7 linked regions of the Macaca mulatta genome follow. The protein of the gene in region 6 interacts with the protein of the main gene of each other region in a pairwise test. Links are inferred from orthologs where the notes say so. Each region holds a gene or a part of one and is shown on either strand. Other genes may lie near its edges.

Region 1 (4,523 bases), on a different chromosome or scaffold from region 6:
GCACCCAACAGAAGGAATTTTCCTCTACACATTCCTTAAACCAGCCAACAGTATCCCTACTACTATCCATTAGCTAACGTCGCCTAAGTATCTACCATGCAACAGAAGCCAAGAACTGTAAGACAGGCCTAGCCCTGCACCCATGAAGTGGACACATACTGGTAGGCTATTTCCACAACTAACTACAAATTCTGACTTAAGAAAAAAAAAAAAAAAGAACGTGTGTATCTAGAAAGCCAGGAGTTTATTAGGTTTGTGGAGAGAAATACCCAAGTGAAATAATTATTCTTGCATTCACTGATTCGATTCTTAAAAGCCGAAGAGAGAGATGTACTCCTTCACACTTTAACAGGAGTGTCAACTCTGACATATGAGTAAATGTCCTGCTCATACTTCTTCCACCCTCCATCTACAAGTTTCTTCACACTTTTTATCTGTTGGCATTTTTACTCATCCCTCAAGATGCCCAATAATCCTCCAATTCTGAGGGAATATAAATTTCACAGGAAGGGTTGCTGTTATAATGGCAGGGTGGGTAAAGAAACCGAATCTAGAAGGATCTCACGGTTCAGGAAAATCTTAGCGAATTCGGGTGAGCAACCATACCTCCTTCCCACTCCCCCGGGTGAAATGTTTTGGCTTGACCTTAGACCACTCTCTTGGCTTTAATCACTTATTTTCTGTGGTAAATGTGGTAAGTGCTAAAGGGGTTAGTCTCTCCCTAAACCACTTTCTTTTCTTAATCCAGCAGTCAAGGTGCTCTGGATGAGACTCAAGTCTCCCCAACCTTGCTTCATTTTTGCTCATGTCTTCACAACCCAATTCTCATTTACATTCCCTATTCCTTACCCTACTTTACTTACCTTAATGGCAGTGATGGCAAAGGCTATTTTCCGCCGCCCATCGATATTGGTGTTGAGTACTCGCAAAATATGCTGGAACTTTTCAGGGATCACTAGAGACTGGTTTAAAAAGTACGGGGGAGAAATTAGACACAGTAAACTATCAAACAGTAAGGTTGAAAAGGCAAACGAACTTCATACAAAACGGTTAAGCCTGTCACACAAGTGGCAAAGGCACCCGATCCCCACCCCTAAGGTTTTCACACCACACAGCAAACTCCTCAGTCCTGCAGAGTAGGTACATGAAGCGTTCAAGCTTGGGAAAATGCAACCTTTGGAGAGAGGAGGCAGGTCTCCTGCCCATTCCCAAAAGTGCGTGGCGGAAGCCAGAGTTCCCCATATACGCCCAAGCCTTAGGCAGCTTCCGTGCGCCAGAGCAGTGACCCTTCCTCGGGCCCGCTCTCCGGAACTGGAAATCTTTGGTGTCCCTTTCCAGGGGCGCGATCCAAGGCTTCATACGGAAAGTCTCAGGCCCTCAGGACAGGGCGTTTCCAGAACCCCAACAGCCGGCTTTCCTTGCCCGAGTTGCGATGTCGCTGGATCACGGCACGGATTCCAGGCTTACCATGGCGGCAGCACAAGCGGCGGCGTGTAGGCCTCCTGTGGAAGAGAGAGCGGAAGTGACGCGGTATCATTATATAGCGTTCAGGAGGAAGAGGCGGAGCGATCTAGGAGAAGTGCTTCCGGAAACTGTTTCAGCCTGACCTAGCTGGACTTAAGAGAGTATGGCTCGGGTACCACAACTTCCGGTGCGCCTTTCTTTACAGTTCGTAAAGTTCATAGGTTTAAGAGAAGCGAAGGTTCCGGGCTAGTTTGTGCTTCAGACTTCCACATTTCCGTTTAGAGTTGGGTGAAGTGGTTAGAACTGAAAGGGAACAGCTGGAGTCAAACAATTTAACTCAAATATCTGGGAACGATTTCGCGCTGAGGAAGACCCTTTGGGACTTGTAGCTCCACTCCGGGGAACAGACTCGCCGGCCTGACAGTTGCCGGAAGTGAGGCTGCGGGGAATGGCCGCCGCTGCGACCATGGCGGCTGCCGCCCGGGAACTGGTGTTGCGGGCAGGGACGTCAGACATGGAGGAGGAAGAGGGCCCGCTGGTGAGAGCGCGGAACTGTTTCTCCTCCGTAGTCCCGGTGCTCCTAGCTTCAGAAAGACCTGAGCTGGGTTTAGGCACAAGGGTGGGAACTTGGCTGCTACCTGTGATATTACCTGTTTGACTCCCCGTACCCTTCCCTGTGATCAGACCCGACCCTGAGCGGGACCCTCGTGGCTGAAACTCATATTCTGGGGCACAATTTCAACTTCGCTCCACATTTTGGGGTAGAGTCAAGAAGTAATATAGTGTAAAGGTTAAGAACATGGACTCTGGAGCCAGACTGCCTGGGTTCTAATTCCATCTCTGCCACTTACACGCTGTGTTCCCTTGGGCAAGTTAACCCGCTTTTCTGTGCCATCATTTCTCAGACCTATAAGATGAGGAAGATAGAACCTACTGTATACATCGTTGTTAGGATTAGATGAATGAGTATGTTTAAGATTGCATCTCGCACGCAGGTAAACACTATGTATTTTGACATTTATAGAAAGCCTGGGGTTCCCCAGAGGTGTGATAGAACATCCAAGATGGCAGGAGCCTGAGGGTCCTAAATTTAAGTGCAAGTTCAGCTCCATCCTCTGCAATTCCTAGCTTTCCTCATTAGGTCATCTCCACTGTCTTGTCTTTTACTTTTTTTTTTTTTTTCTTGAGACGGTTCTCCCTGTGTTACCCAGGTTGACCTTGAACTCCTGATCTCCTCAGACAGTCTTCCAGTCTCAGCTTCTAAGTAGTTGGGACTACAAGGAGCCCGCCACCATGCTGGGCTACCTCCACTGTCTCATTGGATCGTCTCACTCCTTGTCGTATTCCTTACCTATCAACACAAAATAGGAGAGTGGGTACAATGTGAGACTTACAGTTTTTCAAAGCGGTACCTGTGGCTTCCAGCAAAAGCACCTCCTTCTCACTTGAAGGACTGGGGATATCCAATTACATTTTTTCTTTCTGTCTTTCACTGTATCCTACTCCCATTAACTTATTCCTTTTCAGGCGGGTGGTGCTGGGCTCCAGGAATCACTGCAACTTGGGGAGTTGGATATCACTTCTGATGAGTTCATCCTGGATGAAGTGGATGGTAAGTGATGGCGTGGAGTGGGTGCAGTACCTGTAATCTGAGAGGCATGGGAGCTGGAAGGAATAAGGTAGGGATTGGTGTGCAGATACTCAATGTGGGGAGAGGGAGCTGTGGAGCTGAACCCTTACGATAAACTTCTATTTCCAGTTCACATTCAGGCAAATCTGGAGGATGAGTTAGTAAAGGAAGCTCTTAAAACGGTGAGGATTTCCCCTATACTAATCTGCCCTTCTATCTACTGTCCCCCAAAAGGAAAAACAACAGTTTTTTGCTTTTGTTATATCAGCCTGGTATCTGATCCTTTAGTCCTTCACTGATTCTGTTACAGTGTCCCTTTACTGAGACTTTTTTCTGACCTGTCATCTTTATGTCCTCCCAGGGTGTAGATCTTCGTCACTATTCAAAACAAGTTGAACTGGAGCTACAGCAGATTGAACAGAAATCCATTCGGGATTGTATCCTCCAGCAGAGGGAAGGGGCGGTGCTATTGATATGGGGATTTTGTGGTGTGTGGTACAGATGTCTCAGCTGGGGTCAACATCTGTGAGGTTTCTGTCACTTCAGAGAGCAATTGGAGAGGTACTACAAATCTGAGGCTCTCCCATTTTCACCATGAGGCCCCTTGACTTTTTGTGGGTCAGATATTCAAGAGAGTGAGAATATAGCATCTCTGCACAACCAGATCACAGCCTGTGATGCTGTCCTGGAGGTTAGTAATCCTGAACTGTGACCCCTAATAGCTGCTCTGAACCAGATCATGGACTCTGGTGCCATTTTTAGGTCATCAGCCTTAAGATGGGGACAAGTTAGGGTCATTTTCAAGATGACTTCAGGAGCCTTTTTTGTTATTGCTGCCATATTTAATGTTATTTCCTGGTAATCTGGGGTATCTCATCCTCTGCCACCCTCATGGACTGATGAATACTGAGGACTTCACAGAGAGGCTTTGGTGGCCCACTTATCCCCTACAAACCCTATAGCACTCCAGCAACATCTTCTACCTTCCCTACAGCGAATGGAGCAGATGTTGGGAGCTTTTCAGAGTGACCTCAGCTCCATCAGCTCTGAGATCCGGACACTGCAGGAACAGTCAGGAGCCATGAACATTCGACTTCGAAATCGCCAGGCAGTTCGGGGGAAACTTGGGGAGCTTGTTGATGGTCTGGTCGTGCCTTCTGCTCTGGTCACGTGAGTTACCGGTTTGAAGGGTCATGATGTCCGTGGCAGGTGAATGGGCTGGGGTGACCTACCTTATTTACCATATGGGTCTACTGGCTCCAGATTAAGTGCTTTTTAGAAATTAGTAGCCAGGTTAACCACCATTTTTTTAGGCATGCATTAGGCATCAAAGATTAAGATTAAGAATGATGTAAGATCGGCTGGGCGCAGTGGCTCAAGCCTGTAATCCCAGCACTTTGGGAGGCCGAGACGGGTGGATCACGAGGTC
Region 2 (4,309 bases), on a different chromosome or scaffold from region 6:
TGGAGGAAGTGGTAGTTACGTTGCATATTGAAGGATGCAAAGGACTTGTTAGATGAGGCTGGGGGATGGTTCCACATTCCATGCAGATGGAAAAGTATGTGGAAAGGCCCTGAGGCAGGGAGTAATGAACATGGTACTGTGAGGAATGAGGCCAATGTGGCAGCAGCCTGCAGAGCAGATGGTGAGGTGGGGATGAGGCCAGAAAGGTGTTCAGGGCCTGATCATGCAGGCCGCGAAGGCCGGAATGAAGCGTTTCCCCCAAGTTTTTATTTTGGAAAATTTCAAACTTATAGAAAAGCTGCAGATGTAGTAAAATTCTTAACTAGATATTCAAATGGTTGACTTTTGCCAGTTTCTTTCTCTCTTTTGCACACATATGTCTCCTTCTCATATGCACACACACATACATACACATGTTTTTCTTGGTTGAATCATTTGAGAATAAGTTAGAGAAATCATGACATACTACCCCTGAATTCTAAAGCATGGATATTTCAAGAACAAAGATGATCTCTGGCATAATTATAGCACGATTATACACCCAAGGAAATTAATTATGACATACCTGTACCTTATATACAGTCCATATTTACATCTCTCATTGTCCTAATAATATCCTTTGCTAACATATTTTGAAAATCCAGCCTCTGCTGACTTTTTTTTTGGGACCAGTTAGGCCAGTTATTTTGTAATACATACCTCAATTTAAATTCGCCAGGTTATTTTCTCATGGTTAAATTCTGGTTGAACATTACTGCATAGGTGATGTGTGGCCCTGAGAACTAACTAATATCAGGAGTCCGTCATGTCAGTTTCGATACCAGTGATGTTAAATTTGATCACGTGGTTAATGTGGTGTCTACCAGATCTCTCCATTGTAAAGATCAAATTTTCTTTTTGTAAGAAATAAAGTAGCTGGGGGAAAGATACTTTAAGCATCTATAAATATCTTGTTCCCCAACAATCTTTTACCCAATGTTTGTACCTTTGGCATCCCTTGTGCAAGATAATTATTAATGCAGAGATTGCAAAATAGTGATTTTTCAAATTCTGTAAATTTTTTTCTACATTCGTTGATGCTCTTCTGTAAAGAAGAGCCTTTACTTCTCCTTCACCCTTTTAAATCAGTATCAGTATAGACTTGTGGATGTTTAAAATTTGGATTTAAGATTTCACATGCATTTATAATCCATTTCTAACATTAAACATTCTGATGTTTAATTTCTGTCCGTATTTGGTCAGCAGGAGCCCTGATCAGAAAGGTTTTTGAGAAAACTATCGAGTGAATGAAATAATAGTATAGAAATGACGAATAAATCTGTGTTTACCACTTTTTTCCTCCTGAGAAGTTCTATTTGTCCATCTAATGTGAATGTATTTTTATTTCTCTCTAGGTCTCACGGACTAATTGGCTCTCATTCAGCCGGAACCTAGTTCCTGCTGTATATCAAGAGAATGCTTGCTTTTCAAGCTCTTCTGAGAATGATTAAAGCAGTGTCACAAGCTGACATTGTCAGGGGAGGACAAGCAGCCTGAGAATTTCCTATTAATCTGATTGCAGCTTGAAGGCAGCCCATTTCCATTAAGTAGGACTGCATGGCAAGCAGCCCCACCAAAGGGTTGACAATGAGCGTCCCAGTGGCTCCTAAGAAATCATGTTACACTCAGCTGCGGGACAACAGAAATGCAGCAAGAAATAATAATGAGAGCATCCTAAGTCTGGGAGATACAAATGCCAATCAAATCACGTTGGAGGTCAGCTCCTCTCATGATGAGTCCAAGACATGTGACCTGGAAGATGAAATTGGAAATACAAATTCAAGTGAGCCAGAAAACCGTACCCATTTCCATAAGGAATTTCACCAACTTCAGAGCTTTGAGAAGGGATCTCAGCCTGGCTCCACCAGCCTGAAAGATTTTAGACTTTCTTCAACCATTCAGAGGGAACTCAATGAGGAGCACACAATGGAGAGAGGCGCAGATAGCCCGCAGACCCCGCGGAGTATCCAGGGACCGAGTCTGTCGAGTTGGAGAAATGTGATGGGTGAGGCCAGTCTAGACGTTTTGGCTAAAAGGGATGCTGAAATTCCCCGGCACGTTCCCAAGGATAAATTGGCAAAGACCCTCAACAATGAGGAACTGAGGAGGCATTCTTTGGAAAGAGCAAGCAGCTCTGTAGCTGTAGTCGGGAGCCTGACTCCGCAGCATCCACAGCCTGCACCCCTTGACTCCCAGGAAGCACGGGGTCAGGTGCCTGGGGGTGGGGAGGGGCCACAGAAGACATTGCCAGACTGCGCTCTCCCGGCAGCGTTCCCTCCAACTGACAGTACCTCAGAGGGAAAGAGTGTGCGTCATCCTAAACCATCTACCTCAGAGACCAAGCAGAGCACCCCCTCAGAGACCCAGACAGTGGGAGCACATGTACTGCGGGTGTGCAGTGAGCACATACCACGTTCCGCCCATCCAGAGCCTGCTCTGAATCTGACTTTGACATCGAGGGAAATCCCGAGTAAGCCAGAAGCACAGTTAGGTCAAGGAAAGGCAGAGGCCAAGCTGGAGCTGAAATATGTTTCACCCAGGAGGGTTGAACAGGAGGGAAAGGCAGCCCAGGAAGGGTATCTGGGATGCCACAGGGAAGAGAATCTTTCAGCCTTGGAGGGAAAGGATCTGTGTGGGGAGGCGCACCCAGAAACCACCGATGCACTTGGCTCTCTGCCAAACAGTGACCTCCACCACCTTGGGGTGGGAAGAGGCAACAGTGAAGAGAAGAGAGGAGTCAACCCAGGGAAGCCGGATTCTCTCCACGCCACCCCCAAACAGGCCTCTGCTTCCTTAGGAGGGGCTGATAGTCAGCCCACTGGCAACATTTCACCATGTGCAGGTGGGAAGTTGGGTGAAAGGACATCCGGCAGCTTTTCACCAGGTGATGGTCATGTGGCTTTTATTCCTACTAATCTGACTGACAGCAAACCCTTGGATGTCATTGAGGAGGAAAGGCAGTTGGGCAGTGAGCAACCCACAGTGGACAAGGACAGTGTTACAGTTCTGGTGTTCAATCCTTCCGTTGGAGAGAGCCAGACAGAGGTGCCTGAGCCCCTGGAACCTCAAAGTGGCAGCTCAGAAGCACGGGAAAGCAGAGAGATCACCACGTCTGTTGCTGAAAGCAGGAACCTTCTAGAGAATGCAGATAAGATTGAACGCACCTCAGCAAGAGTAGATTCAGTTCTCAATATTCCAGCACCCCTCCTCCCAGAGACAACTGTGAACATGACCCACCAGCCTACAACACCCAGTAGCCGTTTTCAGGATGTTAGCGTGTTCGGTATGGATGCAGTGTCCCCCTTGGCGGTACCACCCCCTGCTGATAGTGCACGCTTGTCGAACACATCCCCCAAAGTGCCTGACAAGAACGCCTGCCCCAGTGGGATCCCCAAGCCTGTCTTCACACATTCCAAGGACACACCTTCCTCGCAGGAGGGAACGGAGAACCATCAGGTTGAAAAAACAGAGGAGAGGACAGAAACCAAGCCCGTCATTATGCCCAAGCCCAAGCATGTGAGGCCCAAGATCATCACCTACATCAGGAGGAGTCCCCAGGCCCTGGGCCAGGTGGACGCCTCGCTGCTTCCAGTGGGGCTTCCATACGCCCCGCCCACATGTACCATGCCTCTTCCCCATGAAGAGAAGGCTGTGAGTGGTGACCTGAAGCCGTCTGCCAACCTCTATGAGAAATTCAAGCCGGACCTGCAGAAGCCAAGGGTCTTCAGTTCAGGATTGATGGTGTCTGGAATCAAGCCCCCAGGACATCCTTTCGGTCAAATGAGTGAAAAGTTTTTGCAGGAGGTAAGAGAATGTCATCATGATATGGTCTGTAAGTTGACTGTCCCAAAATCTGTGACATATTTTCAATGAGTTATGAAAGTAAAATGTCCTCTTTAAGTGAATTGCAGATTTTCATGGATACACTGGTGAAGAAATGGAGTCTTTGACTAGAGGAGATTGTCTAGAGAAATGACCATTTTTAATTAGAAGAGTCTGATTCTCTTAATAAGATGCACCCAGTATCTCAGGAGACCCATTGAAATTTCACTTGCTATAATTCGTATGAAATTAGATGAGTATGCATTAAATAGGCTTCCATGTTTAAATAAGTGAATATAATATAAGCCAGGTCAAAGGAAGAAAGAATGCCAAATTACTGTATTCTTCAAATAGATCAGACTCATTCCTCAATGGGGAGTATTTTCTACCTGGGAGTATCTCTTATTCGTACATGTGAAGAACAGCAAATGAGCAGAAAGCAGTGTGT
Region 3 (4,552 bases), on a different chromosome or scaffold from region 6:
GGACACCTGTAATTCCAGCTACTCAGGAGGCTGAGGCAGAGAATTGTTTGAACCTGGGAGGTGGAGGTTGCAGTGAGCCGAGATCCTGCCACTGTACTCCAGCCTGGGCAACAGAGGGAGACTCTGTCTCAAAAAAAAAAAAAAAAAAAAAAAAAAAAAAAATTGGAATGGATTATCTTCCTCAAGATTTGAACTGAAGAGGTGGAAACAGGGATGGGGGTGGGGTAGGGTGGCAGTCAGAGTTTAAGAGACTAGCACTGGTTAATGATGGAGCCCCAACATAGAGAAACAAGCTCCCAAAGCTAGCAGAATGAAGATGAGGGACAAAACTGTCATTACCTCTTCCTTGCAACAAAGTTTTTTGTTTGTTTGTTTGTTTGTTTGAGATGGAGTCTTGCTCTGTCACCCATGCTGGAGTGCGGTGGCACGATCTCGGCTCACTGCAACCTCCACCTCCTGGATTCAAGCCATTCTCCTGGTTCAGCTGCCCCAGTAGCTCGGATTACAGGCACGCACCACTATGCCCAGCTACTTTTTATATTTAGTAGAAGGGTTGCACCATGTTGGCCAGGCTGGTCTCGAACTCCTGACCTCGTGATCCGCCTGCCTTGGCCTACCAAAGTGCTGAGATTACAGGCAAGAGCCACCGCGCCCGGCCACAACTAAGAGTTTATCACCAACCTGATGTGCTCTCTTGAGGAATAAGTTTGTGGAACTCTTTTGCATTAATCTTTAATTAAGGCTAAAATCAAACCTTTGGCTATAACCATGTCCAGGTCTTTCTGGGGGAATTCTCAATGGGGGGCGCTAGCAGAGTAATCTGAGTACATCCAATATACCTGATACCTAATGGTTTTCAAATATGTTTCTACTTACCTGTTCAGAAGGCAAGGAAACACAACTAAATAGCAAAGCACCTCTGCAGTGACACAGAAGTGACATTAAGAGACAATTGTGAAGATCTTGCATCCTCAAAATGCATAATTATTCCTGAAATCAAAGTTACAGACTGTCCAATATGACTGATTATGAACAGGAGAGGAATCCATTAAAAGCTAAACCCAAGTTTTGATAATTTGAACCTTTTTCCTCCAGTTTTACTATAACACAGTACTTTTCAGTACCTGACCCCAGCATAAGGAACTAGGAAACTAATTTATAGAAGTAATGCATCTATAGTAACAGTGAAAATCCACTGATTTACTATTTTAGCAAATGTATAACCTGATATCTGTACTCTAAATATTAGAGATGTAAATTTGTCAGAGGAAGCTTGGTATACAATGAATGCTTGTATTGGAAAAGACGGAACTTGCTGTTTTTACTAATTTTGTATTTCTCTGGACTTAAACTAGGAATTATGTTCTCTTAGCTTCTCTGGGTTTTCCTCTTCAAATGAAATGCTTCTGACCTGTAGAGGTTTAGAAAAGGTTATCCTCAACTAAAACAACTGCTTCAATACAAGAGAAAACTCTGTGGAAATCTTTTGCATTTGACGTTGCTAAACTTAAGTACAATAATGTCACATGTACTTATACAGTAATTGTGGGCACGCCTAAGTCCCTCCCTCTTTCCTAAACCAAATTCCCCAGATCCTAGAAATCCAGCCCTTCTGCCCTCCGGAGGCGCCTTTCCCAACGTAAAGTACAATTTTAAATTTCAGCTCCTGACTAAAATCATGATCCGCAGTCAACTGCTAGAGAATCTGGGCACCCCGGTGCCTCTGGAGCGTGCAGCGGGTGTGGGCAAGGGCAGGGGGAGTGGGCGAAGCTGCTGGTTGGTGCCTGAAATCTGTGCGTTGCCCCTTTAATTGTGTCCCCAGCCCTCGGGCGTTTCTGTCCAACGCCCACGTCAGCAAATACCTTTTGTTTCTCTCACGTTGGGGCTACTTGTTTTAGGGCGCAAAGGAACGGCCTCGAAAGGGGGTCCTTCCCCAGCCGAGAACCAAGAATCTTCCCCCGGCCCGCGCGCGCGACCGGCCGGTGCGCCGCGGCCCGCGGTAAGTGGCGGCGCGCGGCGCCGGCGGAGGGCGGGCGGGCGTCGGGGCTGCCCGGGACCCGCCGCGAGCCTGGCCGCGGGCGGAGGCGCCGCGGGCTCTCACGGCCCGGGCGGCGGCGGTGCTGAGATGCGGGCCCTGGGCGCGCCTCACCAAGACGTCCCCGGGCCGGGAGCGCGGCGGGAGGCGCCGAGGCGAGCGGGCGCCATTTGCAGCCCGGGGCGCAGCGGCGGCGGCGGCGGCGGCGCCGGCTCCGAGGGGCTGTGGGCGGCCACGGAGGACGCGCGGGCGGCGGCGGCGGGCCGAGCCCGGGGCGGCGGCGGGCGTTGGTGGGCACCGGCTCCCGGCCGCCCCTCCCCGCGCCCGGCCGCGCCGCCCAGCCCGCCAGGCCGGCCCCTCCTGCGCGCCCGGGAGGGGCTGCGGGACAATGGCCGCGCCGTCGCCGCCCGCGCCCGCCTAGCCGCCCGGCCCGGCCCGGGGAAAGGCGGGAAGGCGCGCGGAGCCTCCTGGCGGCGGCGGCGGGAAGGCGGCGGGGACGGCGCCGGGCGTGTCTGGAGCCGTCGAGCGCCGCGGACTCCGGAGGGGCTCGGGCTGCGCGGCGCAAAAACGGGCGGCCGCCGGGGGGGCGCGCGAGGAGGGCAGGGCCGGGGCCGGAGCCGGAGCCTCTGCGGGCGCGGCCAGGGGCGCTGCCGGTGAGCCTGGCTCCCAGGGCAGTAGCCCGAATTTCTCGGTACAGCCTCCATCCTTGGTTTTATGTCAAGATGCGACATCTGGGCTTAGAAAACCGAGGGCTAACTCACCGCGCCTAACCAATGTTGAGCTCCAACTATTTGCTTCTGGACGGAACCGTACATGCTCATCTCTACCCATGCTGACCGCCTCTTTTGTGAGTTAGTCAGCGGCTTGTTCCCTTCCCCTTCAGATGCGCTTATTTATCGCTGATTGTTCCAATGGCCCTACTCCACATCATTCTGAGACGCGTTTGGAAGCGGTAGATTTACACACACACCTGGTGGGCTTCTAACCACACGTCAGTATCACTATGCTTGATAAACCTCTATATTTGCACAACTTTAAATGGAGTGCTTTCACCTATATGAATTATTTCACTTAATTTCACATAAAACAACCACTTAGGCTGACGGTAATTCCACTTTGCAAATGAGGGAACACGTGTGAAGCATGGCGTTTCACCTCTAGGCCAGGGTGACATAGCCACCCAGGACCTCCTGTTCCCGTCCTGCCTTCCCTCCTAAGGTACCTCCAGAGGAGTCTTTAGAAGGGCCAATCTTACACAGCGCTTCCCTGCACTGAAAACCTTAACTGATCTTTTTCAGGAACGCCTCCAAAATCCCCAGCAAGCTTCTGCTCCAGTCTTAATCTCCTCCATGCCTCAGGTATGGATGCATTTGTGGACTGGAGCAAGAGCCCCTCACTGATAAGCAGGGATCAGATGTCTTTATTCCTGGGAACCTCTCTGGCCACACAAGTGGCAACTGGGAAGTGAGAATCTGGCTTAGGGCCCTTGACCAAATGGGTGTCTGGGTGGATTGTGCTCAAAAATGTCAGCAGGAGGCATAATGAGTAGGGACTCCAGGAAGGAGGCCAAGCCACTAACCCTTATCTCCAAGCCCTGAAATCACCAGCTTTGCTGTTGATAATGATTTGAGGCCATGAAAAACTTTGTAAGATAGAGTAATATTGATTCATCCTGTATCATTTAAATCTAATTTTTAGATACAACTATGTCTAATAGATTTAACTCAGTGACACAATGATATGTTAATCATATTTAAAGGATTTGATGTGTTTGATTCCCTTGAATGAAGCTTTTGTTACTTTTGTGCTCAAAATTGGTCAGTGGTTCCCCATCTTACGCAGTTTAAAAGCCAAAAGCTCCATAATAGTCTATGCAGCCTTACAGCATCTGGTCTCACTATGTCCTACTTCTCTCATGATTTGCTTTCCCTTTCTGACTCCATATCCCATTGCTTCCCCGCTGCTCACCTCAGGGCCTTTGCGCTTGCTTTTCCCTTTGCCTGAAATACTGTTTCCCCAGACACCCACATGACTCTTACTTCCTTTGGACTTTACCCAAATACCATCTTCTCAATGAGGCTTTCCCCAACTATAGTTTTGATTCTCTTAAGTGTTTTTATTCTAAATCTTTTCTGTCTCATGCCATTTGTGCAGCTATAAAAATACTTTGGGACTGGGTAATTACACAGAACAGAAATTTATTTCTCACACTTCTGGAGGCTGGGAAGTCCAGGCAGTTTGGTGCCTAGTGAGGGCTGCTCTTTGCTTCCAAGATGGCACCGCGTTGCTGCATCCTCTGGATGGGAGGACTGCTGTGTCTTCACGTGGCAGAAGGGATAGAAGGGCAAGAGGGGCCAAACTCACTCCCTCAGGTCCTTTTATAAGGGCGTTAATTCCATCCATGAGGGCAGAGCCTTCGTGGCCCAATCACCTCCTAAAGGTGATACTGTTGCAATAGGGATGAGTTTTTTTTTTTTTTTTTTTTTTTTGAGACAGAGTCTTGCTCTGTCGCCCAGG
Region 4 (4,453 bases), on a different chromosome or scaffold from region 6:
AAGGGAGCAGGCTGCTTAGTGGATGACGATGATGAAAAGACTGTGTGCTCAGCACCTGCCAAAGGAGGACCTTAAAGGAACAGCCTTATTTCTTTTTTTTTTTTTTTTTTTTTTGAGACGGAGTCTCGCTCTGTCGCCCAGGCTGGAGTGCAGTGGCGCGATCTCGGCTCATTGCAAGCTCCGCCTCCCGGGTTCACGCCATTCTCCTGCCTCAGCCTCCTGAGTAGCTGGGACTACAGGCGCCCACAACCGCGCCTGGCTAATTTTTTGTATTTTTAGTAGAGACGGGGTTTCACCGTGGTCTCGATCTCCTGACCTTGTGATCCGCCCGCCTCGGCCTCCCAAAGTGCTGGGATTACAGGCGTGAGCCACCGCGCCCGGCGGAACAGCCTTATTTCAATGGCCTCTTTGGGGCCTGTTCTCTGAATGGCAGAAAGAGGGATACTTTCATAACCGCCACCAGGTCCCATTCCTCCTCTTCCCACGGCTCTCCAGGATTCCCACCTCACTCAGAGCAAAAGCACAAGTCTAAAGCCAGGTGCGGTGGCTCACACCTGTAATCCCTGCACTCTGGGAGGTAGAGGCGGGAGGATCACCCAACGTCAGGATTTCAAGATCAGCCTGGCCAATATAGTGAAACCCATCTCTACTAAACATACAAAAATTAGCCAGGCATGGTGGTACGCACCTGTAATCCCAGCTACACGAGAGGTTGAGGCAGGAGAATCGCTTGAACCCGGGAGGCGGAGGTTGCAGTGAGGCAAGATCACGTCACTGCATTCCAGCCTGGGCAACAGAGTGAGACTCCATCTCAAAAACAAACAGCTGGGCAAGGTGGCTCACGCCTGTAATCCCAGCACTTTGGGAGGCCGAGGCAGGTGGATCACCTGAGGTCGGGAGTTCAAGACCAGCCTGACCGACATGGAGAACTCTCGTCTCTACTAAAAATACAAAATTAGCCGGGCGTGGTAGCACGTGCCTGTAATCCCAGCTACTCGGGAGGCTGAGGCAGGAGAATCACTTGAACACGGGAGGCAGAGGATGTAGCGAGCTGGGATCGTGCCATTGCATTCCAGCCTGGGCAACAAGAGTGAAACTCCGTCTCAAAAGCAAACAAAAAACAAACCACCAGGTCCCATCCCTCCTCCTCCCACAGCCTTCCAGGGCTCCCACTTCACTCACCCAAAAACCCAAGTCCTCCCCATGGCCCACAAGTCCTTGCTGGACTGGCCTGCTTCACCAGCTACAGAGTTAGCAGGGCCCAGTGCAAAAGAAAACTGAAAGGCCCCTTGTTCAAAAATGATTAGGAATCTCAAAATGCAACACTAAATATTAACCCAAGCACAAGCCCTGCTGAGGAGGGGGGGGGGCCCGGGCAAATGCATGAAGCCCCAGGCCCTGCCTCCCTCCGGCCTTCCTGACCTCCGCCCTGGCACCCTGATGCCAGGCACAGTCCTGCCCCAGGGCCTTTACACCTGCTGGTCCTGCCTCTGAGTACCTCTGTACCCCATCCCCCTGTTCTCTCTCCTTCTTTGGGTCGTTTTAGGGGCGGAGGAAGCTCTCTCTGATCCTCCCTGCCACCTGTTTAACTTTGCATCTTCCTACCCTGCCATCCTCCCGGCTGGTTTTTCTGCAGAACGGTCCCCACCATCTGACCTGCTGGGAATTCAGCTTGTTAATTTGTCTCTGTCTGTCTCCAGGCACCACCACCAGAGCAGGGACCCCCCACCCCCGCCCCCACCACAGGGCCCTGGAGCAGCAGGCCCTGGCACACAGTAGGCGTTCTATAAATGTGTCGCAAGAATGGCTTCCCTGAGAAAGGCGGCATTACCGCTGCCTTTCTGCAGAAAAGGAAACTGAGGCTCAGCGAGAACCACCGCCCAGCCAGAGCCAAGGTCACAGAGCACGTCCGTGGCACGCGTCCAGGTCGTGCCACGGCAGGGCTGGCGGCTTCGACGCGGGCAGCCGGGTCCCTTTTCTTTGACAGATGGGGAAACCGAGGCCCGGCCTGCTGCCGGGTTGGGGGGGGTGGCGGGGGCCGCGGCCCGGGGCGGGGGCGGGCCGGGCCCAAGGTCACCGCGGCGGGCGGGCCCTGGGGAGGCGGGCCGGGGTGGGGATCCGCAGGCCTCCCCGGGCGCGCGCCTCCCCCCCCTCGGCGGCGCGCACGGGGCACGGGCGGCGGCGGCAGGTGGAGCCGGAGCCTCAGCATCAGCCGAGCCGCGGCCACTGCCGGCGTCGCCGCCATTAGACAATAGCGGTGGGGCCGGGGAGCGGGGAGGCGGGCGGCGGGGAGGGGCGGGGAGGGGCGCCGGGCGCGCAGGAAGCGGGGCCCGGGGCGCGCCGGGGCCGGGCGCGCGGGGAGGGGGCGCAGGAAGCGGGCGAGGCCGGGCGCGGGAGGCGGCGGCGGCCCCGGGAGCTGCCGATCGGCGCCGGGACAAAGGCGCGGCCGCCCGGCGCCCCCAGCAGCCCGAGCCGGGGCGCACAGCCGGGGCGCAGCCCGCGCCCCCTGCCGCGACTGACATGATGTTTCCACAAAGCAGGCATTCGGTAAGCGGGGTCCGTCCGGCAGGCGCCCCCACCCCGGATCCCGGCCCTGCGCTCCCCACCCCCGGCTCCCGGCCCCGCGCCCCCCACCCCCAGGCCCGGTGCCTCCGGCCCGGCACCCCCCCCAACTCCCCGGCCCTGTCTTCCCTCTCCAGCTCCAAGCCCGGCGCGACCCCCCTCCTGCCGCCGGCCCCCGGACACCCCCCAGTTCCCGATCCACCCCAGCTTCCGGGCCCCGAGCCCCCCCGTCCCAGCTCCCGGCTTGGCGCCCCCCCCCTCGCCGGGACAGGCAGGGCCTCGGACGGCCTTGGCCTCGGGCCTGGGGCGCTCCGGGAGCCCCGCCAGGCACCTCTAGCGCGGGGATCCTTTGGGGGCCTGTGGTGGGGGGGCGATCCGAGGCGCACCCCTCCCGGAAGAGCGCGTCCCCGAGGAAGGGCGCTGGGAATCTGGGGTGGGCCCCCCGGGAAGATTTCGGGCGCCGAGAGACCCCTCCCCCAAGAGGGCTTTGCTGGGAGGACTCGCTGCCCCCCAACTTGGGGAGGGGGCTCCCTAGGGTGCGTATCCACCCCCCTCGGATGTGCACTCCCTCCCGGCGCTTTGGAGGGGCGGTAGAGGGCGCACCCTGCCCCCCATCTAGGGCAGGCCTTAAAACGCACCCCCACTGCTTGGAGGTGGCGGGGGTCGGGGCGGCTCCGGGCGCACCCACCCCCTCGGCTTCCCCCGGGAGAGGCGGGGGGCAGGAAGCGCGGGTGGGGGCCGCGCCAGGGGCCGTAAACACGGGCCCAGGAAGTGGGGCAGGAGGGGGGGCGCCGCAGCTGCGCGGCCGCTCCCTCCCGGCTGGCCCTCGAGGGGGGTCCAGCCCAAGCCAGGGCCTGACCCGGGCCGCCCCTTCCCCACAGGGCTCTTCGCACCTACCCCAGCAACTCAAATTCACCACCTCGGACTCCTGCGACCGCATCAAAGACGAATTTCAGCTACTGCAAGCTCAGTATCACAGGTGAGCTGGGGGGCCGAGGGTCCCTGCGTCCCGAGAAGGTGAGCCCCCCACCCCATTTTTTCTGCGCAGATGGCAAGGCTGAGGCCTGGAGGGGAGATTGGGAAAATAATGTATGCTAGACTCTGACCTAATACTTGACAAATAGGGAATTCATTTTTTTTAAACAGCTGCATTCTGTGGAGGACAAAACTGAGGCACAAAATAAGTTAAATAATTTGCCCAAAGACCCAGCTGTGTGGCTTCAGAGCCCCTCCCTCCTACCCAATCCCCCCAAGTCCCCCCTTGGATAAAAGACAATTGGAGTTAGGGCACAGACTCGCCGTCCCCCCAACCCCCAAAACAAACATTTTGCAGCCTGGTCATCTCTCTTTGCCCAGTTTTGGAGAAAGGGTTCCCAGCATCAGTCAGATTCTCCCAGGTGCTTCTTTCAGAAATCTCCTGGCGTTTCTGAAGAGCTTGCCATGCTGTGGTATCTAAGGGGAAGGAACTATTTAGTCCTTTTACACTTAAAGAAATTTAATCCCAGGCCGGGTGCCACCGGTGGCTCACGCCTGTAACCCCAGCACTTTGGGAGGCTGAGGCGGGTGGATCACTTGAGGTCAGGAGTTCGAGACCAGCCTGGCCAACATGGCGAAACCCCGTCTCTACTAAAAATACAAAATTAGCCGGGTGTGGTGGCAGACGCCTGTAATCCCAGCTACTTGGGTGGCTGAGGCAGGAAACTTGCTTGAACCCGGGAGGCGGAGGTTGCAGTGAGCAGAGATCGAACCACCACACTCCAGCCTGGGTAACAGAGAGAGACTCGGTGTCCGAAAAAAAACAAAAAAAAATAAAGAAGAAGAAACTTAAGCCCAGAGAGGTTATTTCCTCGGGGATGTCCGTAGCGTTGAGGAAGTGGCAAGGCTGAGGTTT
Region 5 (3,810 bases), on a different chromosome or scaffold from region 6:
CTTAGCAAACTCAGCATACAATTTTTTTCTTAAGTGGAGAACTTTCACCTTTTCACTTAAAGGATGCGCTTTATGGTTTCTCTTTGGCATATCCAAATTGCCAGCATTGCTGCTGTTGCATTTTGGGGCCATTATTAAGTTAAATAAGGGTTGTTACTTGAACATAAGCACTGTGATACCCAACAGTTGATCTGATAACCAAGATGGCTACTAAGTGACTAATTGGTAGGTAGTGTATACAGTTACAGCATGGATAAGTTGGACAAAGGGATGAATCACATCCTAGGTAGGATGGAGTGGGACAGTATGAGATTTCATCACACTACTCAGAGTAGTGCGCATTAAAAAATAATAATAAATTTTAAAACTTATTTCTGGAATTTCCCATTTAGTATTTTTGGACCCTGGTTTACCTTGCGTAACTAAAACCATGGAAAGTGAAACTACGGATCAGCATGTACTACGGTACTGTTTTCAAAGGCATGAGGAGGGAGGAGAAAGATTATTACAAGCTGTCTTCTAGATATTTGGAGAAGGACAAGTGTTTGCTACTAGGTGGATACACTTATACATAGTTGTATTTCTGGGTAAAGAGACTCTCCTTTCCCCCAGCATTCTAGCAGCCACCTGGAATAATGGTCTCTTGGATCTCCATGCCCTCTTGACTGGCCCAGGCATCGCCGTTGTCTGTTCTTTGCTGTTAGTAGAATACAAAGAGAGAGGGACCAAACGTCTAGCTGTTCCTGCTACAGTACCCAAACCAGTGGCCCTTCCCACGCTTCCTGCTCCCTTTATCTATAGTCTGTAAGCTTGGAGCACCTTGGATGGAAGTCGCTTCCATCCTTTGTTGTATTTCTCTCTTGTGCTGTCTTTTGTGGGTGTTGGGGGCTGGTTAGAACTTTCTTCTTCCATCTGATCTCTTCTGTCTTCAGAGATTCCTTCAGATTTGCTATTTATTGAGAGGGCCTTCTTGTTTTCCAGTGACAATATGATTTAAAATTTTTTAAACTCTGGTCGGGCTCAGTGGCTCACGCCTGTAATCCCAACACTTTGGGAGGCGGAGACGGGCAGATCACGAGGTCGGGAGATCGAGACCATCCTGGTTAACATGGGGAAACCCCGTCTCTACTAAAAACACAAAAAATTAGCTGGGCATGGTGGCGGGCTCCTGTAGTCCCAGCTACTCGGGAGGCTGAGGCAGAAGAATGGTGTAAACCCGGGAGGCGGAGATTGCAGTGAGCCAAGATCGCACCACTGCACTCCAGCCTGGGTGACAGAGAGAGACTCCGTCGCAAAAAAAAATTTTTTTTAACTCTATATAGGCATATATATATATGTTTATAAATATACATACATATATGTGTGCACCCATACATATAAGTGAACTGATATAAGGCTGTTGGGAGGGTGACTGGATCATTTACTTAGTTTATCATCTTGGTCCAGTGTCTAGGAAATAATTTTGCATTATCTTGATTTTTTTCTCCCTTTTAGATTACAGGAGCTTATTAGTCCTAAGAAGGCTGAGGACACAGAGAAAAAAGATGAGCCCAGCAAATATAATCAGCAACAGGCCCTAATTGACCAGAGATACTTTCAGGTATTGAATTGATTTTTCATGACAAAAAGACTGATGTTCGTCATAAATCTTGGTTATCAGTTGCAGTGTAATAAATTATCAGTTGGTAAGGAATACTTGCACCTCATATTTATGTGTACTTATTCTGTTTTGTCTTTCTGTGATATAACTAACTGTTTGACTAAAAACATTGTAGACTTCATCTTACTACTTAAAGGAGACTCTGGGCCTAGTTCAAAGCAGGTTAGTAAAGAGCTTTAAGATTTTTAAAAGATTTTATAATCCTTTTCCTTCCTTCCCCCTGTAAGCCATTTTCCCTCTTCTTGTTTCTTTTGTTGCTATTATTATTATATAAGTAAATCTGTTTTCTTAGGGTCCTTGTATGGCTTTGTTTTTGTGTAGAGACCTTAGTTCATCTGAAATTAATTTTCTATATGGTGTGATATAGGGAATCTCACCTTCCTAGTTTTACAGATCATTTATTGAATAGCTGAGCAGTTAAACCTGGTAGTTTAGTGACTGAACTGGACTTTCACTCATATTTTATTGGGTACACATAAGATTTTTAAATTTTAGATTATTCACTTTTTAAAAAATTAAGATATTTTATTTTTTCTAGGCTGCTATTTCTAATTTCTCTTAAAAAGTCAGAAGATCTGGCAACAAATTCCTGCATGGTTATTATCACAGCAGAATTAGGCCTTTCCCTTGTCAGATATGAGCATGTGTTCTATAGTTAGCCAGTTGCTATTCATCCTTACTTCACTCATTTATACTCGTACCTGGATTCTCTGGGTGTCTGTGTTTGCAGTCTCTAATACGCTACTTTTTTGTCTACTTTATTGAAATAACATTTTATCATAGATCATATTCCTTTATATGCACAGATTTGTTTTTAGATTCTCTAGTCTGTTGCATTTCTCAACTGTTTCCATATATTAATTTCTATAGTTATAAGTTTTAATAGCCCTTGAGGCAAGTATCCTGTCATTTAAAAAAAATTTTTATTGGCTATATTTTTAGCACATTTATTCTTCTGGATGAACAGTTTTCAAATTAAAAACTAAATCCCATTGAGATGAACTAAAACTGAATTGACTTTATGGATTAATATTTGGAGAAATGACACCTTAACCTTTTTGAATCATCACATTCAGAGAAATATGTACTTTCATCAGGGTCATCTTTTATAGTCTTCAATAAAGTGTTGTATATTTTTAAATTTAGCTCTTGCATATTTCTTGTTAGGAAATACCTTGCTATTTCCTAGGTATTTTATAACTTTTATTGCTATTGTAAATGGGAACCAAGCACCTTTCTGAAAACTGTTTTGTTTTAGACTTTCTTGTACCAGTATGTAACTGGATTTCATTTTGTTTCTGAGACTCAATTTGAGAGACTTTGTCCTTTAAAGGGGGAATTCAGGCCGGGTATGGTGGCTCACACCTGTAATCTTAACACTTTGGGTGACCGAGGCAGGAGGATTGCTAGAGGCCAGGAGTCTGAGATCAGCCTGGGCAATATAGTGAGACCACATCTCTAGAAAAAAAAATTAATTAGTTGGGCATGGTGGCGTGCACCTGTAGTCCTAGCACTTGAGAGGCTGACATGGGAGGATCACTTGAGCCCAGGAATTCAACGCTGCAGTGAGCTCTGTTCGCACCACTGCACTCCATCTTAGGCCACAGAGTGAGACTCTGTCAAATAAATAAATAAAACATATATACATACATCAATCTGAAGTGAAATATTGAATTACACTAATTTGGACTTAAAAAGCTTCTAAATAAACATCTGAAGTAATATAATAAACATATTAAGTCATATTACCAGGAGGCCTATTAGTTATATCTTGAAGTATGACCAGGGACGAAGATTCAGGAGCAAAATGCTATCTTTATATTGTGAAACTTTTTATTAAATAGGCTGAACTTGATGGTGGTAATAGGAAATGGCTTTATTCTTCTCTCTTTAAACATGCTTTTTGGGGGTCTCCCTTTTTATCCTTGGATGATATCTAAGGTAGAACTCATCACTTATGGGGAGAGGGTTATAGTCAAATAGTATACTATCTTAATATATTAAGATATTTAAAATTCAATCCAGGCATCAATGATATTATTTTTGGAGACAGGGTCTTGCTCTGTTGCCCAGGCTGGAATGCATTATCATAGCTCACTGCAGCCCTGAATTCCTGGGCTCAAGTGATCTTCCTGCCTCAACCTGGGATT
Region 6 (3,810 bases):
GCACTTTGGGGAGGCAGAGGTGGGTGCATCACTTGAGGTTAGGAGTTGGAGATTAGCCTGGCCAACATGGTGAAACACTCCTTCTACAAAAAATACAAAATATAGCTGGGCATGGTGGTGTGCGCCTGTAGTCTCAGCTCCTCGGGAGGCTGAGGCGCGAGAATCACTTGAACCTGGGAGGCGGAAGCTGCAGTGAGCCGAGATTGTGCCACTGCACTCCAGTTTGGGCAACAAGAGCGAAACTCCGTCTCAACAACAACAAGAGTAACAACAACAACAAAGTCCTCCATGCTATGCTTTGTCCTAATTTACTTCCCTAACACATCTCAGTTTTTCTTCTCTATCAAACTTATCTTCTTAGCCATCTGACCATCAGTCCCCTAAAACTTAATCCACGTGTTTGAAACTTACCTAGCCTAGAAAGCCAATTAAAATCTCATCTCTTCTCAAACCACCTCAGCCAATTATATTACTCTGCTACGAACACTTGGGATTACTTACTATACACATACTTCCCATTTGCAAGTCACCTTTACTGCCTTGTGGATCTAGTCCAGTGAATGATTTTGTAAACAGTTTTACTACAATATAGCCATGCCCATTTGTTTATGTATTGTCTAGGCTACTTCTGAGCTACAATAGCAAAACTCTGTAATAAAGACCAATTAATGTGCAAACTCTAAAAAATTTACTATTTGGCACTTCATAGGAAAAGTATGTGGGCGCTTCCTTAGACTCCTAATGTTTACCTTTTTATCTCTCCAATTAAACCACACTCCCCCAAAGGGGTGGTATTTTATATATGCCCTTCAGTATTGGTCCTTCAAGAACTTATCTGAAGAAACCTTGCAAGCAAGTAATGATTTTTAAAAGCCCAACTGTTGGACGCGGTGGCTCACACCTGTAATCCCAGCACTTTGGGAGGCCGAGGCAGGCGGATCACCTGAGGTCAGGAGTTCAAGACCAGCCTGGCCAACATGGTGAAACCCCCATCTCTACCAAAAATTAGCTGAGTGTGGCAGCGGGCGCCCACAATCCCAGCTACTTGGGAGGCTGAGGCAGGAGAATCACTTGAACCCAGGTGGTGGAAGTTTCAGTGAGCTGAGATTATGCCACTGCACTCCAGTCTGGGTGACACAAACTCCATCCACCCCCCCACCAAAAAAAAAAAAAAAAAAAAAAAAAAAGAAATCCTAGAAGTATTGGTAGGGTGTGCTGGACTATGTCACAGGGTGCACCGTGCAGTATGAACAAAGAAAGCAAAAAAGAACTTGGGAGAAAAACACTGGGTAAAGGAAATACAAAAATACTTACCAGTGCAAACAAGATTGCGGCATAAGCCATTTCGGAAATCATGAAATACACGATTTCGATGTTCCTAGGAGAAAGCAATTTATTCCATTTGATTAGCACTCATATACAGCCCCAAATTTCCCATGATTATTTCTCCTAGTCGATCGGTTCTACCCAAAACCTGTTTATAAGTGATCCATGACATTAAGCTGCTTTCAAAACCAAATATGAGTTAAGTTATTGATCTCTTCATCTACAGAAACTGTTTACTTACGAAATTTCATAATGTAGTTAACAAAAAGTCATTTTGTTAAGTTTTAAATTATTTTTTGCTAAATCAAATTCTGAAATTTAGACATTGCATCTTTCTCTAAAGGCAAACAGTAAAGAAAAAAGAAAAATCAGCCAGCTGAGGGGCCATATTTAAAAATCCAGAGCAATGCTGTCCAGTAGAAACTTCTGTAATAAAGGAAATGTTTGTGTCTGTACTTCCACTTCCAATACAGTATCCAGCAGCAACAGGTGCCTAACTGAGCACTTGAAACGTGGCTGTGATTGAGAAACTGACTTTTTATTTTAATTTTTTTTTTTTTTTTTTTTTTTTGAGACAGAGTCTCGCTCTGTCGCCCAGGCTGGAGTGCAGTGGCGCTATCTCGGCTCACTGCAAGCTCCGCCTCCCGGGTTTACGCCATTCTCCTGCCTCAGCCTCCCGAGTAGCTGGGACTACAGGCGCCCGCCACCTCGCCCGGCTAATTTTTTTGTATTTTTAGTAGAGACGGGGTTTCATTGTGTTAGCCAGGATGGTCTCGATCTTCTGACCTCGTGATCCGCCCGTCTCGGCCTCCCAAAGTGCTGGGATTACAGGCTTGAGCCACCACGCCCGGCCTTATTTTAATTTTAACTGATTTAAATGGCCACATGTGGCTAGTGGTTACTGGATTAAACAGAGAATTAAACATGGGAATGAAAGGAAGAATACAATTTTACATTTGTATTATACCTGACAGCTTACAAATTTAAACATTTACCTTAATTTTCCTAACTACCTTGTAAGTTATGAATATGTACTATTATCTCTATTTTATTGCTAGAAAATGAACCTTAGGTAGGTCAAAATGAAAGGTCCTTTGGCTACTAAGGAACAGTTTATTCTTAAACTCAGGACATTTAAAAGAACATTAAAACAAAATAAAATCAGAGATTTCTTGTTAAATTTGTGCAAGTTCTAGTTTTATACTCACCTGCCTCATTTTAGCATGAATATAGAAGCAAGAATAACCCAGTTGAGAAATCTTCTTGGCTAGTAATTCAACTCGCTGAGAGGAGTTACAGAAAATGATCGACTGGTTTATCTGAAGCTGAGCACAGAAAAAATAAGTATGAGAAAAATTAAAACCTTCATTTGGCTTGCCAAATCTTGAAAACACTAACCAGCAAACAAGAAACATTAACATGGTCTAAAATTTAGAATCTTATGATATGAGAGAGATGGTAAATTCTAAGTACTTTAATAGATGGAATATAATAATATCTAAGATTTATTGTATTAGAGTATATTTCTTAAGGGCCACATAACTGTCAACAAGAGTAATACAATTGATTATCTGATTCCAAGTAGTTATGTTTTATGTTTTTCCATTTAAGAATACGTGTGTGTGTGTGTGTGTGTGTGTGTGTGTGTGTGTGTGTGTGAGAGAGAGAGAGAGAGAGAGAGAGAGAGAGAAATGGAGTTTCACTCTTGTTGCCCAGGCTGGAGTGCAATGGTACAATCTTAGCTCACTGCAACCTCCACCTCCTGGGTTCAAGGGATTCTCCAGCCTCAGCCTCCTGAGGAGCTGGGATTACAGGCACCCACCACCATGCCTGGCTAATTTTTGTATTTTCAGTAGAGACGGGGTTTCAGCATGTTGGTCAGGCTGGTCTCGAACTCCTGACCTCAGGTGTCTGCCCACCTCGGCTTTCCAAAGTGCTGGGATTACAGGTGTGAGCCACCGTGCCCAGCCAAGAACATCTTTAATATACTCACAACCAATGCCACTAGCACTGGGCAGCACTTCAGCACCATGAGTAGGGGTCAATTAAAACCGTGAAATCAGGCCGGGCGCGGTGGCTCAAGCCTGTAATCCCAGCACTTTGGGAGGCCGAGACGGGTGGATCACGAGGTCAGGAGATCGAGACCATCCTGGATAACACGGTGAAACCCCGTCTCTACTAAGAAATACAAAAAACTAGCCGGGCGAGGTGGCGGGCGCCTGTAGTCCCAGCTACTCGGGAGGCTGAGGCCGGAGAATGGCGTGAACCCGGGAGGCGGAGCTTGCAGTGAGCTGAGATCCGGCCACTGCACTCCAGCCTGGGCTACAGAGCGAGACTCCGTCTCAAAAAAAAAAAAAAAAAAAAAAAAAAAAAAAAAAAACCGTGAAATCAGCAACAAAAATTTGAAAAATATGGCACAGTGAAAAGGATACTTGTTCACAGTATGAGAGCTAAACAAGAGGACAGAGCATTGTCTTCTTCAAC
Region 7 (3,810 bases), on a different chromosome or scaffold from region 6:
CAAAAAAAAGCAGATCCAAGATTCTTTGATTCCACTGGCTGGAAGGAAGTAACTCATGATGTTAACACCAAGGCACACCTGAAGCCAAGACCGAAATTCAGGGTGGAGGAGAGGAAAGGAGACAACAACAGGGACCAAGATCTGTTGACAAAATTATTTCAGTCCTATTATGTCATCAGTATGAGGACAGAGAGACAATTCACAGTAAGTGGCCAGATGCAGTGTAAATATCTGTTTATTTAGCTTTATTGCATCAGATCGTTTCTCTGAGTTACATGTTGTCATAACGTGATTATGAAAGACATGCTAAGTCTGGATTGATGCAAAGTAAAAAAGTAAATAAATAAATAAAAGTACACTTAGCTCCCAGTTATCTGCACTAGAAGCAGAATAGTTTATGCACGAGAAACAGGAGGAGGAGAGCAGCGGGGCCCACCCTGTGCCTCCTCAGGTGCTCCGTGAGCTTATCCCTGGATCCCTGGGAGCAGGAAGAGGGCTGACAGGTGAAACTGAAGACAGAAAAATATAGCTCCGAAAAGTAAGCTGCATTGTAACGAAGGGGTGAAGGACACCAGCTGCACCCAATAAAAAGGTGGTGCGAGGTGCCGCAGTGTTTCCTCGGCATGTGTTACTGACACGTGTGGAACCTGTTTCTCTGTAGGTCTCTAAATCAGAGAAGATTCTCCTAGCCCTGGGATAATTCGGGACACTTATTTAAAGGTTGAGGATTCAACCATATGACCTCTGAAGAACGCATCCTTCAAGCCTGAAGATATACGTAAAGCAAAAACCATTTCTTTGACATAGAATTAAATAATTTATCATTTGTGTCTTAACATTTAAGCCTATCTACAGAACTACACGAAAACAAAATTTGTCTGTTGTGGTAATTCACGCATTCTTTCAACAAAGATTTAACATGTCCAACACATACAGCAATGCTGGAGGAGCAAAGTACAGAAAGGTTAGAGAGGTGAGGGAATCACAGAATGATCCACTGTACGCAGCATAAGAGATTATTCAGAGGAATAGGAGGAAGACAGAATTAATCAGGGAAGACTTCTTACAAGGGGTGAAATCTAAATCAAGTGAAATCCAAATCTAAAATCAACTTGAATTTGTGATGCTCACAAACTGGCAGACAAAGAATGACAGAAAGAGAAATCAAACCAAAAGGGCATTTACACATGAAGGACTACCCATCAACAAAGGCATGGAATTGCAGTTTTCTAAAGAAAAAATTAGCCTGGAAGCTATGGAGGGACCATGATGGAGAACAAGGTCCGGCCCAGTGGACTATGGCCTTGGACACTCTGAGGAAGGTGCTCCAACACAAAGCAAAACATTGTGACTGGTCCTAAAAAAATTACTCCCGAGACGCACACAAACGCCCAGGGCTCTTCCTTACCTTTCCCATAGAAGAATTTGCGGTAGTAATAGGCCCCAAGGTCAATGTGTTCTATGATGTAGCGCTTCACTTTCTCCCTGTGAATGGGCTGGTTTTCTCTGGGCACTTCCAAGACCGAGACACCTGCATTTGTGCAGTGAGAGCTGAGAGACGATTCAAAAGAGCAGCTTTCCCCAGAACTGAAAGAGGACGAGTTGGCCCGAGAGAGCGCAATCCGCCTGTCGCCTTCCCCTCCAGTCTCATTTCTAAAGTAAGGACAACTAAGGACAAGGTCGTTACTTTTCCCGTCACCCTCGTCGGCATCCAGGTTCTCTTTGGAGTTGAGGTCCTCCTTGCTCCCTAAAGGGGACTCACAGTTGCCTGTCTGGCCTGTGGGCATCTGAGTCTGGGATGCTGCAGAAGCCCCGGTGGTTATGTTTTTCCTTTTCCCCACATTAGCCCTCGTAGCCATGGCTTCATTGATATTAAACAAAATGCTCTGGACATCATAATGTGCAAAACAGCGCTGGCAATTCCAAGGGCGAATGCCCCTCTCCAGTCGGCTCTCCTCCAGCTCAGATGTGAACTTGAAAGTTTCGTGCTCACTTTTAACAGTTCGAAGCTTTCGAAAGAGGGATGTTTCCACCGACTCTGATTTCAACCTCCGTTTGAAAGGCTTGTCCCTGTCTCTCCCCATCAGGAGGGCACTGTCCATGTAGTCTAATCCTGAGATGCGGACAAATTCTCCCCTAGAAATCTGTGCTGCTGCATGAAGGCTCGGAGACACTGCAGGGTCACAGCGGAAAAATTCAGGGAACCCAAAAGGGACCATTGCTTTGTGGTCATAATTTTCTACTCGGTACCCTCTGAGCATAGCAAAAAAGTTTTCACCAGATAAGCCTTGCCTGTCGATAGATGAAGTACTTCCATACTCCCTGTGCAGGGCAGCCCCTGTGTTGGGGTTGACTGCATTTTGGTCTAAGACATCTTCGGCGTCGATGTCACTGATAGTGACATCACTATTGCTCCTCTGTCTTATGGGGTGAAGTCCTCTTTGGGGGGAATGGACAAAGATGTCCCCGATTGTGTACTTGGCCTCCACGAAGTCCAGATCGAGCTGCTCATCTTGCTGACCTTCGCTCTGGTCACTCTGCCCATTCTGCATGACGGAGGTGACACTTTCATAACTGGTCTGAGACCGGCTTTCCCACAGTGCCTTGCAGGTTAGCTCCTTGGAACAGTCCTTTTTAGGAGGCCATTCAGACACCCTTGCTCTCACACCCATCTTGGGCACAGCTGGGGTACCATTAGCCGGACCACCACCGCCAGTCTCACTGGAATTCGAGGCATTTAAAGAAGTAGTGGGTCCCATGTTGCCATTAATGGCTTTAAATTTCCGAGCAAAATAATCATCTGACTGCATGATTCTAGGGGGATCCTTGAACTTTGAAGAGGCTCTGCCGAGCTTGTGCTTCTCTTCTTGTGACTGCCTTGGGTCACTCATGTCTACTGAGGAAGAGCCTCCAAGACTCACCAGGAAGACCGATGTAAATCTAATTACATTGCTATTGACCACGCCATAATACTTGCAGATATAAAGCCTTTGTCTGTAGTTGTATTTTTTCTTTTTTTTTTAGCCCAAAGCAAACAACATCTTCAGAATACAGTTTCTCCAAAGCCAATTTGCTTCTCTGTTGTCGTAATAATGTTGTACACCTCTGTTCTTTTCAAAAGCATTCCTTAAGACATCTGGCTGGTCATGAGTATTTCCTTCACCTGAATTAAAAGACAGGAAGTAGCCATTAGCAATTAATATACTTCAAGTTGAACACATTCTACAATAGATTTCGTATCTGTCTTTCTCCTCTGCTTCTGCCCACGAAGTTTCATGATCCACAGCACTGTTCGTAACACTCCTCCCTGGACACCATCTTCCTTCTCTACACAGCTAGATAAAATTCACATCATACAATCAGGTATTAACTTATCTGAGAAACTTTCCTAGGATGTCTCCCACACTAATTGCATCTAAGCAAAGAATGTTGTGATAACACAGCACTCCATCTATATCCAACAGAGTAATTTTCCTTATCTCTAATTGCTGTTTACCAACTTACTGACTTCAAGTTCCTCTAAGCAAAGAACCATGCCTTTCAGTTGTGTACCAGCATTAACTATTAAGGTAGCCTGGCTTAAACTAGGGATTCATGAAGTATTTCAATGAATGAATTGGCTATAAGAGTAGCACAAGTCATGTATATAATGGGTTTCAGTATTATTAGTTTACTTTCCTTCAAAACAGTTAAACTCAAAATGGCCCACAGCAAAAGGGTCAATACAAGACATTAACAAGAGAGTTTTCACAATGATCACCTGTAGTCAAATTAGAACTCACACAGATCCTCCTTTAAGTGGGAAAAGGT

Evidence for each region.
Region 1: the proteins of DDX6 (region 6) and VPS52 interact in binary tests that used the Homo sapiens proteins (3 or more experiments, as listed by UniProt). The two-hybrid records come from large-scale screens. The link is inferred for Macaca mulatta from reciprocal best matches to the Homo sapiens genes DDX6 and VPS52.
Region 2: the proteins of DDX6 (region 6) and MTUS2 interact in binary tests that used the Homo sapiens proteins (3 or more experiments, as listed by UniProt). The link is inferred for Macaca mulatta from reciprocal best matches to the Homo sapiens genes DDX6 and MTUS2.
Region 3: the proteins of DDX6 (region 6) and ZBTB8A interact in binary tests that used the Homo sapiens proteins (3 or more experiments, as listed by UniProt). The two-hybrid records come from large-scale screens. The link is inferred for Macaca mulatta from reciprocal best matches to the Homo sapiens genes DDX6 and ZBTB8A.
Region 4: the proteins of DDX6 (region 6) and TLE5 interact in binary tests that used the Homo sapiens proteins (3 or more experiments, as listed by UniProt). The two-hybrid records come from large-scale screens. The link is inferred for Macaca mulatta from reciprocal best matches to the Homo sapiens genes DDX6 and TLE5.
Region 5: the proteins of DDX6 (region 6) and CEP70 interact in a two-hybrid assay, tested with the Homo sapiens proteins (2 studies listed by BioGRID and IntAct). The two-hybrid records come from large-scale screens. The link is inferred for Macaca mulatta from reciprocal best matches to the Homo sapiens genes DDX6 and CEP70.
Region 7: the proteins of DDX6 (region 6) and SIPA1L2 interact in binary tests that used the Homo sapiens proteins (3 or more experiments, as listed by UniProt). The two-hybrid records come from large-scale screens. The link is inferred for Macaca mulatta from reciprocal best matches to the Homo sapiens genes DDX6 and SIPA1L2.

Annotation. Positions count from the first base shown.
Region 1 is NC_133409.1:149,016,033-149,020,555, forward strand, and holds the start of VPS52 (vacuolar protein sorting-associated protein 52 homolog), read left to right. Parts: upstream 1-1,689; 5' UTR 1,690-1,912; coding exon 1,913-2,002; exon of another isoform or gene 2,003-2,459; intron 2,460-2,991; coding exon 2,992-3,076; intron 3,077-3,223; coding exon 3,224-3,276; intron 3,277-3,455; coding exon 3,456-3,531; intron 3,532-3,712; exon of another isoform or gene 3,713-3,717; coding exon 3,718-3,785; intron 3,786-4,056; exon of another isoform or gene 4,057-4,088; coding exon 4,089-4,264; intron 4,265-4,523. Other genes in the region: RPS18 (small ribosomal subunit protein uS13), read right to left, coding at 864-962, 1,468-1,470. UniProt on the Homo sapiens protein: Acts as a component of the GARP complex that is involved in retrograde transport from early and late endosomes to the trans-Golgi network (TGN).
Region 2 is NC_133422.1:8,971,906-8,976,214, forward strand, and holds the start of MTUS2 (microtubule-associated tumor suppressor candidate 2), read left to right. Parts: upstream 1-1,394; 5' UTR 1,395-1,596; coding exon 1,597-3,843; intron 3,844-4,309. UniProt on the Homo sapiens protein: Binds microtubules. Together with MAPRE1 may target the microtubule depolymerase KIF2C to the plus-end of microtubules. May regulate the dynamics of microtubules at their growing distal tip.
Region 3 is NC_133406.1:208,334,641-208,339,192, reverse strand, and holds the start of ZBTB8A (zinc finger and BTB domain-containing protein 8A), read left to right. Parts: upstream 1-1,573; 5' UTR 1,574-1,639; intron 1,640-1,856; exon of another isoform or gene 1,857-1,898; 5' UTR 1,899-1,999; intron 2,000-4,552. UniProt on the Homo sapiens protein: May be involved in transcriptional regulation.
Region 4 is NC_133424.1:3,855,134-3,859,586, reverse strand, and holds the start of TLE5 (TLE family member 5), read left to right. Parts: upstream 1-1,593; 5' UTR 1,594-1,790; coding exon 1,791-2,018; intron 2,019-2,204; exon of another isoform or gene 2,205-2,520; coding exon of another isoform or gene 2,521-2,547; intron 2,548-2,791; exon of another isoform or gene 2,792-3,098; intron 3,099-3,443; coding exon 3,444-3,541; intron 3,542-4,453. UniProt on the Homo sapiens protein: Transcriptional corepressor. Acts as a dominant repressor towards other family members. Inhibits NF-kappa-B-regulated gene expression. May be required for the initiation and maintenance of the differentiated state.
Region 5 is NC_133407.1:41,509,791-41,513,600, reverse strand, and holds part of CEP70 (centrosomal protein of 70 kDa), read left to right. Parts: intron 1-1,494; coding exon 1,495-1,600; intron 1,601-3,810.
Region 6 is NC_133419.1:119,435,220-119,439,029, forward strand, and holds part of DDX6 (putative ATP-dependent RNA helicase DDX6), read right to left. Parts: intron 2,652-3,810; coding exon 2,535-2,651; intron 1,379-2,534; coding exon 1,315-1,378; intron 1-1,314.
Region 7 is NC_133406.1:16,537,903-16,541,712, reverse strand, and holds part of SIPA1L2 (signal-induced proliferation-associated 1-like protein 2), read right to left. Parts: intron 3,164-3,810; 5' UTR 2,892-3,163; coding exon 1,409-2,891; intron 1-1,408.